Linked DNA regions of Drosophila melanogaster. The protein of the gene in region 1 interacts with the protein of each later gene in a pairwise test. Each region holds a gene or a part of one and is shown on either strand. Other genes may lie near its edges. The genes, in order: CG5726 and CAH15.

Region 1 (8,461 bases):
GACGGACTGCCCACGTATGTGGCCAGAGGATATTACCACGACGATCTCCTGCCTGCTCCTTATGTACCGGAAAAGAAGGCTGCCTTCGGTTCGCACAGCTGTAGCGCCCGAACTCTGACCGATGATGTCGAGATCCTGGTGCTCAACGACTGTGACTACAAGTGGGTGCCCGGACAGCATGGAACATATCCGCGGGATGCTCTGAACACGGGCTACTCCGAGCTGGGTGAGGTCACCTACACGGGTCGTGGTCTTTACCAGGGTATCCTGCGTCTGGGCAAGGTGCATCCTTCCCACAAGGTCATGTACATCCCGCATCATGGTCAAGAGGTGAGCGTAAACACCTACGAAGTCCTGGTGGTCACCCCACGTGACCAGGCAGATCGATGATGCTGCTGATATCTTAAATCTCTTATGCCTTATTGTATGAATCTGTGTTATAAATACATATGTACGTCTTATTCTATTTTTGAAAAAAATCGGATCTATTATTTCTGTACTTGTTTTAAATTCGCTTATCAGTAAGCCAAGATTTGTCCCCAATTTCTTTAATCAAGCGAAAAATTGATAACTTTGTTTTGACTGCCAGCAAATTATGTACAAATAAAAGTCCCCATATACATATGTATAAGTTAGTCTGCTATTTGCTGCCCTCAAGTATGCAATTCTTTATAATAGTTTGGAAAGTGAAGATGTTTGTGACTAGACACGGGTTTAAAAATATTTTGACCTTGACTTGATCAATGCCTACGATAAACGGAAATCTTGGTTTTTTGTATATTGTATCTAAAACGGACCAACTGTCTTCAAAATGGCAAGATTAATAAAAACTGCGGTCTTAAAGCTTTCTTACTATCGCTTTTGTAAAGTATGCACAACCGAGAGTTGCCCACAGAAGTTCTGGAAAGTGGAAACGCAGAAGACGAGGGGAGTCACCCACAAGGATTCGGAAAATACATTCATCCAATCAGGTGATGTAAATACGGAGGTAAGACTATGACATTCTGCTGGTGATTTCAAAAGTTTTCAAAAGAATTTGTTTTAATGTTTGATTAATGATAATGCAATTTTTTTGTTTTATTAAAAATGTGTTAGACGCTATTTATATGCTGATTAGTGTTTTGAACCTACGCATGTTGCGAACATATTGATTATACCTAAACAAAGAGGTTTAAGTATCTATATAAGACTACTCGTATAACTCTACAATTCATGTTTTTCTCTGCACTCCGGCTTGGCTTTGTTGTTCCAACAGAGGGCCTCACAAAATTTGCTTTAAAAATACGTAAGCTTGTATAATTCGTTTAATAAATCGGCTGAACCTGCACTATAACATGACATTTAATATATAAGTATATATTTAGCTAAAAATACAAATTTTTATATGTTCAACATGCTTTTAACATTTCACCAACAGGCGTTTTACTTTTCAATAGAAATAGGATTATTTTTGTTTTTTCATTGACTTTGTACTTAGTTTCTAAGCAATTTGTATATATAAATATAAAAATGAGTGTGTGTGACTGTATTTTGTGTGGGAGTGTTTATGTGGCGTGGTTGTGTGGGACTACACAAGACATTCATATATATATAATTGGTATTTACAAATTTAGTGGCTCCAATGTGTAATGCATGCATGCTTAATATTCTTTAAGCCTGGATTTGAGATGGATTTGTTTTGTGATTGGTCTAAATTGTTTTGTATTGGTTTAACATTTGAGCTCAGTTGAAGACAAAATAATGTGAAAACAGTCTACGTGGATATACACATCCATTAGGAAACATATACGAAGGCGAAACAAATAACTTCTAAACGGACTTCAAAAACAATTTTCGTACATGTGGATGACTTCGTAAAGTGTATAAACTCATTTCTGGGCCGACAAATAGTTCATGTACTGAGTGGTCTGCTGGGCATTCCGCACCAGCTCGCTTTCCTCCTTTCCGGATGGTGGTTGGCCCTTATCCGCCTGCCCCTGCCAGTTCTCCTCGTTCTGCGGCTGATGGATGTCTGGCTGGGAGCGGCGTGTGAAATGGCGGTGCCGCTGGTGCTGATGCTGATGTGGATTTTGTGGCGATGTCTGTTGGCGACGATCAAACGAGCTGGACGCTTCGCTGGCCAAACTGCTTTGGCTGCTGTAACGCGGGAATCGAGGACCACCGCCTGCATGCGTGGGGCTCTGATTGTACCTATAGCCGCCTGATTTATCCATTTGCGATTTTGGCGGTCTCGGCAGAGTGCGAGCCCTGGATGAGCTGCGACTATTCGATTCCGGACCATTCGAGTTGTACGCACAGTTCTCGTCTTGGTAGCCACTGTTTATAGCATTGTTTGAGCGTCGCCAGGAATCGCTGTGTATTTTATGGTTGCCTCCCTGATGTTGCTGTTGCATCTGCTGTTGTTGTTGCTGCTGTTGTTTCTGGAATCGCGGCGGTTTGTCGTAGGTGTTGCGGTTATTGAATCGCCCACCTCGCTTATAGTTGTTTCCGCGCTCGTAGTTACTGATATAAGAGCGCTCACTGCGATCATCGCGATCCCTTTGATCCCAATTCGAGTTGACTATACTATTATAGTTGCCACCGCCAGACATATTGCGTTCGATGCGCTCCTGCGAGTGCTTCCTCCTGTCGTGGATGCTATACAGTCGCAGGTTGCCGCCTCCCTCGCTGCGCACGCTGTGGTGGTCATCGTCGCAGCTCACGCTGTACCGCCGCTGTTGGTCGCGCGACCGTCCGTTACTCTGGTCGCCGTCGTGATTGCGGTTGAAGCGTGTCTTCCGCCAGCTAGGGAGCGGCTTGCTCTCGTCCCGATCCTCGCTGCTGGCCATGGATGGATACTGGTCGGAGCTGGCGCTGTTCAAAAATTTGTGGTTAATATTTTGTCGTTAAATAAATATCGGTAGAATGAAATGAAAATAAATTAAATATAAAAGTTCTCGTTTTTTATAACGATACTTTTGTGTTACCAAAATATCTACAGTAAAGCATACATTAAATAAAATAATGTTATTTAAAATTCCTCAATTAAACTTAAATACTCGAAACTCAGTTCAAATCAAATTTTCGATTGCTTCAAATCAAAATTAAAGAAATGTAAATTAGGATTTAGGACATTTTTAAACAATAGGTGTTAATAAATATTTTATCCTTGACTTACTTAAAGGACTTGAATCAATCTTGGATATGTCTCTATAAATAAATTGCAATATTTTGTTATATATGTATATATATACATAAATTTAATTATTCATCATATTAAAAGATTCCTATCAGTCGTAGAACTTTTTCTAAACGTATGCATGTTAAGTTGTGATTGATTATCAGCTATAAATAGTATTACACTTATATAGTAAAGATTTGGTACATACTCTATGCTGGCTGGTTGTTGGTGCTGCTGCTGTTGTGATTGATGTGACTTCAAAGGACGCGGCACTTGCCGAGGTTGGAATCCGCGACGACGGTGGCCGAGTGAAGCAGAGTTATTCGCTTGATACGAGAGTCCAGATTCGGAGTATCTATCGTCGCCCTGATCCGCCTCACCGTAGCCAGTTTCACAAAAGGAATCCTCGCACACCTGCTCGCTCCACTTCTTTGCCGACGGCCGCGGTTCAAAGGTATCCTGATCCTGGCCGGACGTGTTGGCGCTGCTGCCGTTCTCTGACTGTTGATGCTGAAGCTGCTGTGAGCGGCCATCTTCGGCGAGATCCTGGGGGCCGGAGCCATTATTGTTGACCCCATCCTCTTCGCCATCTTCCACCACCAAGAAGTTGGTGTACATTGTCTCCAGGTCGTGGCCGATATGCTTAAAGTGGCTGTAAAAGAGGTCCAGCACCATCAGTAGCATGGCCTTCACCTTAGCGGTCAGCGCGGGCTGCATGATCAAATGCCGGCGAACGTGGAAGAGCAGTAAATCAATCTCGACCTTATGCCGCTTGCGCATGATCTCCCCATTCAGTGTGATCTGTGACAGCACCAGGCGGGCAATCCGAGTGCCCAGCACCACCGACGTGTCATTGAGCTCGCGGGTAAGCAAGTCCAGCAGGGACTCACCCAAAATGGTGATCGGGGTATTATCCGCCAGCCTTACCCTGTGATAATATTCACCCAGCAGCGTGATCGAGTTGTACAGTCGGTTCTTGTCGTGCAACCGATATGCGTCCGCGTTGAGGAAGTTTGTCTCCAAAATCTTGAGCATGGCGCTGCGCACCTTCGTCTCTTTCATGGCCAGTGCGTCGAAATTTCTCGATGAGAAGAGCAGGGCGAACTTTAGCGCCGTATCACCATCGCTAAGCGCCTTGTCGTTCAGGTACTCCATTGACTCACTGAAAATTGCAAATACAATTAGTTTATTTACTTTTCATTTATTAGTATGTTATAATAATCAAGTCTACTACTACTTCATAATGTTAAAGTTTGCACTACAACTGTGTTTAACACCCCCACTGATATAACGCATAGCAGCATTGTTTGATAAGCCCAAGCTGCGAACTATTTGTTCAGCAATTAACTCGAGCATGAGCCTGAGAGAATCGGAGGGAAAAATGTTCACTTTGAAATGATTCGATGGCGCCGATGTCTCTCTGCCCGTCTTTATTTGTATGAAAAGTTGTAAATTTTCAAGACACGCTGACGTTCGAGCAACCTGGTCGCAAACAACGAACTCGTGCACGAACACATATACACAAATACAGTGCTTTTCAGATTTATAAATCGATTTTTAGACATTTAATAAAATTGAAATGTATATGTAGAAGGTCGCAAAAACTTTTTCGAACCTAAAAATAATGAAGTAAGAAGAAAAGTTTACAAAGTTGCACTTTAAGAACCCAAGGGTTCTTGAACGCGTAAAAACAAATTAACGTTTGAACTTGATTAGTAATTCGGTTTCTGCATTTCAAGCATTTCATTATTGGAATAACTTATAGAATGCTGTAACCTATGGGCGAACGCCACAAGCTCCCAAATTTAACGAATTACTCATGCTACTTGTAATGGAATGTCATAAATATTACAATAAGGATCGGTCTTCGCCAGGCAGATATGTACTGCATGCATTAAGTCTTGTTATCACATGGCTGGCTTTGATGGGCTTGGGAGCTCGCCTTGCCCATATGCTATCGCACCGCACTGTACCTACGCCGGGTATTTACATACATCCATATGTATATGCGAAAAGAGGTGGCAAATAAACACACTACTTATGATATGATTAATCATCAATGAGCGAACCAACCAAACGGTAGAGATCGGCACACATACCAAAGCATAGACTCGTCGCGCACTATGTTGCAGAAGTCCGTTTCGATGGTCTTGATCTTGGAGTTCAGCACAATGCCATCGTCCTGCAGATCAAGGTTCCTCATCAGGGCGATGATGTGGTCGTAGGCATAGCCACCTGTTTGATTTTGATAGGCGGCGGGGCCAGTGTTCAGGATGGTACAAACATCCCGGAGGCGCGCTCCCGTTCCCTCACCACCGCCCCCGCTACCGACACCACTGTGCGAACTGTGACCACTGTCCACCGCACTGTTGTTGTAGCTGTTGTTGCCGTAGGAGGTGGTGTTGCTGCTGCCACCGCCGCCACTGTTGCTGCTGCTGACCATGTTGTTGGCCATTTCCATTTCTCGCCGCGATCACTGCCGTTTGTTGTTGTTATCGCACGGTTGTTTGTCTGTCCCTTCCACACACACTTCAGTGTCTGTTATATTGGTACGCGCGTGTGTGTGAGTCGTCGGTCCACCAAATAAGAATCAGCGTTGACAAAGGTGTCGAAATGCGCACGCCAAATGAAACACCTTTTCGCTCAGCTTCCGCTTTGGGTGCAGGTGCAGTTAGCTCACTGGGACCCACGGTCGATTGAAACGCAAATAACGAACGAAATTAAATGCACAAATTTATAACTATTCCTATTTATTATTGCTATTTGACGACTTTTAAAAGAGGTGGAAAAACATCGATGTGTTGTGTTCTTTAAAACATCGATGTTTCTCCACCTCTAGATAGCATTGTCGCGATATCGAAAGCACACGGTGTGCTTTCGTAAATAGCGCCACAGTGCTCCCGCTGTTATCGATAAGACCACCATGGGGCTAAAGTACGGAGCATAAGTAGCTGGATTTAAGATGGATTGGCAGAATAAAATATGAAATTTATATCCACAGTATATCTTAAGAAGTAGGGTTTAAAAAGTATCCACACATACATATCTTTCTAAAATTTAGGATGAATTTTAGTTTCAGTGGCTGAGTAAGCGTATTTGTAAACATTATTTGTTGTTTCGACTTAAGCCAAGTTAGTTAGCAATTAGTTTGTCGTGGAAATATCTATCAGCTAACAGTTATTGTCTACAATCGATTCTTGACAAATACTGGTGTGGTGAATTCCGCTCATTGGAGCATCGTAAAATCGCCATCAGTCAGCTGTGTTTCGTTGGGCGCGCAAACTGTTCGGCGTGCGTTTATTTGTTGTTCTTTTGTAATAACTATTTTTATGTAGTTATTTGTGCCAAAAATGTTGAACTTAAACTGCGTGATATGCGCCGAATTGTTTGGCCAGGCCGACGAGGTTTTTGCCACAGTTTGTGGTCATATGTTCCACCACAACTGTCTAAATCAATGGCTCGATCGGTAAACAACGCATAAGGATATTTCTGATTCCCGACAATAAAATCAAATATCTTTCGCAGATCAAAGACCTGTCCTCAGTGCCGGAATAAGTGCACTACCCGCAACATATTTAGGGTCTATTTCAATCTGGCCAACTTGGATGTGAGCCACATCGATGTTGGTTCACTGCAGGAGCAGCTGGACAATGCGATGTTGTCCATGAAAATGGTCGAAAAAGAGCGCAACAAGGATGAACAGCAGATTCGGGATCTGAAGGAAACACAAAAGAAGTGCCTGTATGCTTTTGTATACACATTGCCTTAAGTACCAGACTGATGCATTTCTCATTTGCAGCAAAACCATAGCCGGTTTGGAGCAGAAGGTGCAAAAGAAGGATTTTCTCATCAGCAGCTATGTCGAGCAAATTGGCGTCCTCAAGAGTGATGCCCATGTCGTTGATGGGTTGCGCAAGGAAAACAAAACATTGAAATCACAGATCCAGAGTATGGAAGGCATATCGGCTATTCTGGCGGCTGGCTCGGCGGATGCCGACCGCTTGCTCAAGAACGAGGCTGATCCACATGTCCTAGCCAACTGGGTGTCCACTCTCAAGAGGGAGTTGCGACAATGCGAGAGCAAAAAGACGGAGCTCAGGAATGTAGTGAAGGTGGTGCAGAATGATCTGCGAAAGGAGATCGAACTAAAGCGGTATGCTCACAACATTCCAAACGTGGTTTTTATAATTGATATGTGCTCATTCGATTGCAGCAAGCTGGAAGAGCGTGTTTCACACCTGGAGAGCGACCTTTACCAGGCGCAGGAGAAGGTTTGCTGAGCCTTCTTTAACACAATTTCGATTAAACATACTATTATCTTTTCAGCTACAAGCTTTTGAGAACAAGACCGCTTACTTGGACTCACCAAATGCCTCTTGTGGTCTGAACAGCAACATTTTGGCCCTTAAAAGGGAGGAAAGGCGTACCACTATTTCCCCTACAGTTGTGAGTAGACACGAATAAACGAAAATATAAGCTACTAATATTTTGCTGCCCTACAGAAGGAGAATATTAAGCGCATCGAAGAATCCACCTCCCCATATCTCAACATTAAATCCAGCAGCGTCGGGTTGGCGCATCTTCTTAATACTAAGGGTAACATTGGGCTGGCCAAGTCTAAAATATCGCCCATCAAGGGAGTCGGTGGCGGTGTGTCTATGACCAGCGGAACCATACGGAAAACCAGCAGTGATCTCAGTGAAAAGGTAAACGCAATAATTTTGCCGAATTCCACTTAACCATTTAAAAATTCCGTATATTCCCCCAGTATTCAATCTTCAAGAAGCCAAGACTGCTGCTGGGAAGTTCAAGTAGTTCTGCGTTGACGGCCACGACGGGCTCAAATTTTGTCTACAATGGAATGGGCGGTTCTGAGAAGGTTGACCCCTTTGCGCAGCGCGCCGAGGAAGAGGGTCTTTCCACAATCAGATCCTCGACCGCCCTTTCCCGGAATGTCAACCAGCGTCTTAAAGCCGGCTCGCTGCGCAACTTTAACCTGGGCAAATAAGTCCACAGCCATGTGATCATAAGAGACTGCCCCAGTTGGGTATTAGCACGCGATTGGTATTGAGGATTGCCGATTTTGTTAGTTAGCCAATGCATGAATTAAGCAATAGTAATAATTTAGCAGTAAATATATAAAAATACAAAAGGCATATGTGTGTGCGATTAGGCGGCAATTTTTTTCTCCGCCGTGCCCGTCCATTCCTCGCGCAAGTGGACACTACAGCCGAGGTCGCGCAACGCCGCCTTGATGTCCTGCTCCACACTGGGGTGCTCCTTCATTGCCATATTTAGTAG
Region 2 (4,665 bases), 2.7 Mb from region 1:
CACAGGAGTAGAGAAAGGACGCATGCTGCGTTAAGGATCAGGATCACATTCGCAGGCAGCTGAGATGCAGAGAGAGAGAGAGAGAGAAAGAGATAGAGAGGGAGAGTGAAACATACAGTAGCAACATGGCCGCAAAACGATCTTGAAGAATGTCCTTGCGGTTTCGCCAGAGAAGACACTCTCACAGGCGTTGTTCATTTAACAATCACACAGGACAAGCGATAATCCCGACCCTCCCAAACGAATTCCATAGCGGACTGAGATACAAAGGCCTAAGCGGATTGGCCAAACAAAGTTGAGTGCCCTAAATACCTTGTCCTGAACCCTCGCCTGCGCCGTGTTTGATGTCCTGCGGCGCATATTAACATTATCAGCTGTGTGCTTTGCGATGTGTGCAAAAGAGATGGCCGTCGAAGTGGAGAAAATCCCACTAGACAATGTTATCGGAGCCAAAGTAATTGTCTCGTCCTTGTCCGGGCATCCGAATAATGTGTGAAAATTTACACCGAATTTACACCGGAGGCCCCGCTGCGCCCTACAGCCAAGGACATTCTTCTTCGGTCGCCGCAGTAATCGGCAAATGTGGTTAAGTGATTTAAGAGGATATTATCGAGCCGTGCAGCAGACAAATCAATCGAATTCAAAGTGAGACCAATTTCGTTTGCATTATCCTGCGGCCAAAGACAGCGTGATTGTGCGATGCGTTTTTCCTCGCCTCCCATTTCGCATCGCTTTAACAAAGTTTCTCCGACCGGAAACGGAAATTTCCTTTGCATGTTTGTATGTTTGTGAGTGCTACAGTTGCCGATGCAGTCGACGGAATTTGCGTATTTATGGAAAAAAAAGCATGGGACAGCTTTGTATATTGATGATTTCATAATTATATTTCGATGAGTCTGAAACTTAAAGCACACATCTTAAGATATAAGTAGTTAAGTCAAGTACATTGTATAATTAGTATAATAACCCTAATATGCTATCCTTATTTATATGTAATCACGCTCCCAACTGAAATAACCATAATCTGAATGTAGCAGTGATTTATGTAAGTCGATCAAACGCAACTCGGACCACTTAAATAGAGTCCATGTGCCGGATATAAAAACGCAGTAACCAAAACAAACATTGTGTAATGTGACAAGCAAGCAACCCCCTGAACCGAATCTGCAGCCTCAATTAACCCTAAGCGACCATAAAAATCGAGTCATTCGGTCACAAATGAAAACAACTGCCTGGAGGCCTGGTTACTCAAAAATGGTTATGATTGTTATTCCGTTATATTCGTATTCTGTTATTTTGGCACCCTCTGGCAGGACTCGGCTAACGATGTTAGTGTTTCCGTTTATGCCACATGCTTACCCGTCAATTTGCGTGCAGCTCACATGCCCCAGGACATGTTCATATCCACGGACACTACGGCTACTACGAATACCACCCGGATACCCGGACAAACCAAATACCCTGGCAGCTGAGAGGAGGTCCTGCGAGGTCGGAGCACGGACAATTTGTAACATTTGGCAGACGTCAACGCCCTGCACAAGTGCAGAAAAATGAAATCAAATCAAAGCCAAACGAATTGATCAGAAAAATGCCATAATTGAATCGCAGTGGGAACCCACCCCGCATAACACCGAACTGTGGGCGTGGCCGTCCTTTGATAACTTTATGCTAATCAGAGATGGCCGAGAAGTCTCGAATTTCACAGGCCATAAGTCAAAAGTACGACTAGGGCCTACACGCAGAGAAAATTTATATATTAAAAGGGGATTAGTTGATAATTTTTCTCAGGTTTCATTGGATTATAAAGCCACCCTTTAATATACATACATTTTTGGAGGCATATCATAATTACTTAACGATAAACCTATTCAATATGTTTATCGGGTTATATAGTATTTAACTATTTTAAAAATCGAAACGATCCATCCTTTAAGTTCCTGTGTAGTTCCTGCCGCAGCACAAAAGGTGTTGCTGAAGTGCTGGAAATAATTTCCGTTCCGCTCCTAGTGCTCATTTCGCCTATTTTGTACGTACAAAACTAATTAATTTCCCAAAATGCAACATAGAAGAGTTGCGGGGGGGAGGCGGGAGGTGCCGGGCGGGTCCACGCAGGAGCGGCACAGGATATTTGTGCAAGCAATTTCCGCCGCCGAAGAGAGTTTTGTGCGTAATTAATTTATGCAAAATACAAATGCAAACAAATTGCAAATGTTTTCGCACAAATTGTGCGCTGTGCGCCCAATTTGTTTTCCAAAATAATTAACTTTTCAGCGGGTTTAATTAGAAATTTTCTCAATTTTCCCGCTCAGCCAGGAAGGCCAGTGCCTGGCTGTCATCCAATAAAGTTATCATTTCCCAGCAAGTTTTTCCCGAGTGGATTCTACTTTGTAACTGTGGTGATGAAGGGATGCCTCACCTGTGGTCTGCTAAATTACCTATGGTGCTCGCTAGAAGACATATCCTGTCGACTCCAGGACAGCAATCTCCTCAAATTCATCCTGGCCATCGGTGTGGCCCTATTGGTATTGTTCAACGTATACACAGGATTTAGCTTGGCCAATAGATGTGATGAGGGATCGAACGATGGATGTGCAAATGCTGGCGGCGATAATTGCAGAAGGCTTCGTGGCTCTCCGGAATCCTACAATTATGACTGGGACCAGGGACCTCATACCTGGGACACTGCGTGCAACAATCAGAGTCCCATCAACATCGATATGAACTGTGTGGAAATCAACTACTTTGATACACCGTTGATATGGTCGCACTACAATAGCATTCCGCTGGGCATTCGCCTGGAGAACAACGGACACACACTGATCCTGCGAGCAGCTTTTCCAGAACGAACGCCCTCCATCGACGGCGGCGATCTACTTGGGCGCTTCGACTTCCGAGAGATCTCGTTCCGCTGGAGCTGGGCCAGCTCGTTGGGATCGGAGCACACACTGGACCATCATCACAGCCCGCTGGAGATGCAGTGCCTTCACACAGATGGCGACGGTTGCGATGGCTGCTCTTCTAGCCAGGGTGTCCTAATGATTTCCTACATGTTCGATCTGTCCGAGCACAATCCGTTTCTCGATGTCCTCATCCAGCATCTCGCTGCTGTCGAGCAGGCCGGTCAGGTGGTGGAAGTGCCACCGTTTCCACTTAGCTACCTCATGTCACCGTTCTACGACAAGTTCTACAGTTACAATGGATCCCTAACCGAACCGCCCTGCCACCGTGGGGCGGAGTGGCTAATATATCCCGAGTCCTTGGCCATCAGCGAGCGCCAGCTGAACGAGTTCCGCCAGCTGAGGGATAGGCGTGGTTCAAGGATAGCGCGCAATGCGCGTCCAGTTCAGCCGATCGGGGATCGAATGGTATACCTAAATCGCTACAGGACGGGGTTTTAAAACAGATTGGCTATAGTGTATGTGGAAAATATAATTCGATAAAACAGAATAGAATATGTATATATTTTTCAGCTACAAACTAACCCTTTCACTTTATTATGGTTGAGATTGAATTTATATACAGTATCTGTAAAGACAGGAAGCAAGTTGCATAACTACATTGCTTATAAAGATTTCTTAATAAGAAACAATGGTAACACCAATTAACTATGTACAACCATTATTACATTACATACGTTCATACAGTAAATACCAAAATCCAATTTATTACATAATCCTTGTGGCATGGCAGTCAGTACATGTTGTACTTCCAAGTTGTTACTAATTGGTCCTGGTTTCCGCCGTATTTCTGATTCGGGGTCCTGCTGGTCAGTCTTCCGCACAATTTACTTTGGGTTGCCGTTTGCTGGGCAAATAGTGTGCTTATATAGTAATTCACTAATTAGTCGTTCAAAGAGCATTAGCATTGGCATTAGCATTAGCCGTTGCAGGGACCCGAGGTCCCGAGGACCTGAGCCTGTTCCGCATCCTGTGCGCAAAATCGCCGCAGGACATGGCAATGCGATTGTGTGCGTGTGAGTCTGCGTCTGTAATTTCGTTAGTGCAGCGGAAACTGTTGCGGACATGTTTGCCCTGCGATTGGGATTGGTATTGAGATTGGCAATGGGAATGGGAATGGGATCGGAATGGGATGGGATGGGCACGGGCATGGGATTGGGTTTTTGGCCCTCCTGCGGCGAAGCACCCTCATCTCCTGTCCTCCTCCTCCTCCTCCTTCATAGCCTGCTCCACCCCACCCTGCATTACAGCTGCTGCTTGGCAATCAGAGAGTTCCAGTTTCCAGGCTTATAATTATCAGTTGGCGCCTAACCATACATACATACATATGCACACACATATAGCTGAAAGTTCGACCATGTTCGGCCATTGGCCTGTAATTAGTTTTTATTGCAGAGATGAGATGAAAGGGGGGCTTGGAGCAACGGATCCAATTCGATTTGAGGCCTGCAACGTCGACTTGTTTAATCAATGACAGGCCAAGTGAATTTTACTGCAATTGCATTTGCTGCAAATCAACGCTAATGAAATTATACAAACAAGTTTCGGTACGCTTTTGTTGCTTCGTGCTGCGTCAATATTTGTGCTGTGCGCCCATTCGCAATTTGCATGTTTTGAAAACTTAATTGGATTGCAATTTCCACAAATAAAGCTTAATTTTTCCGTCGCACTTTTCGTTTTCGGGTTTTCGCAGCCATGTCCACCGCGT

The links.
Region 2: the proteins of CG5726 (region 1) and CAH15 interact in a two-hybrid assay, tested with the Drosophila melanogaster proteins (one large-scale study listed by BioGRID).

What each region holds. Positions count from the first base shown.
Region 1 is NT_033778.4:18,174,212-18,182,672, forward strand, and holds CG5726 (uncharacterized protein), read right to left. Parts: upstream 5,987-8,461; 5' UTR 5,622-5,986; coding exon 5,260-5,621; intron 4,323-5,259; coding exon 3,369-4,322; intron 2,854-3,368; coding exon 1,869-2,853; 3' UTR 1,044-1,868; downstream 1-1,043. Other genes in the region: CG10916 (uncharacterized protein), read left to right, coding at 1-390; nopo (no poles), read left to right, coding at 6,511-6,626, 6,686-6,901, 6,960-7,313, 7,374-7,431, 7,487-7,606, 7,663-7,866, 7,929-8,168; CG5721 (uncharacterized protein), read right to left, coding at 8,330-8,461.
Region 2 is NT_033778.4:20,907,357-20,912,021, forward strand, and holds CAH15 (carbonic anhydrase 15), read left to right. Parts: upstream 1-2,347; 5' UTR 2,348-2,399; coding exon 2,400-3,398; 3' UTR 3,399-3,445; downstream 3,446-4,665.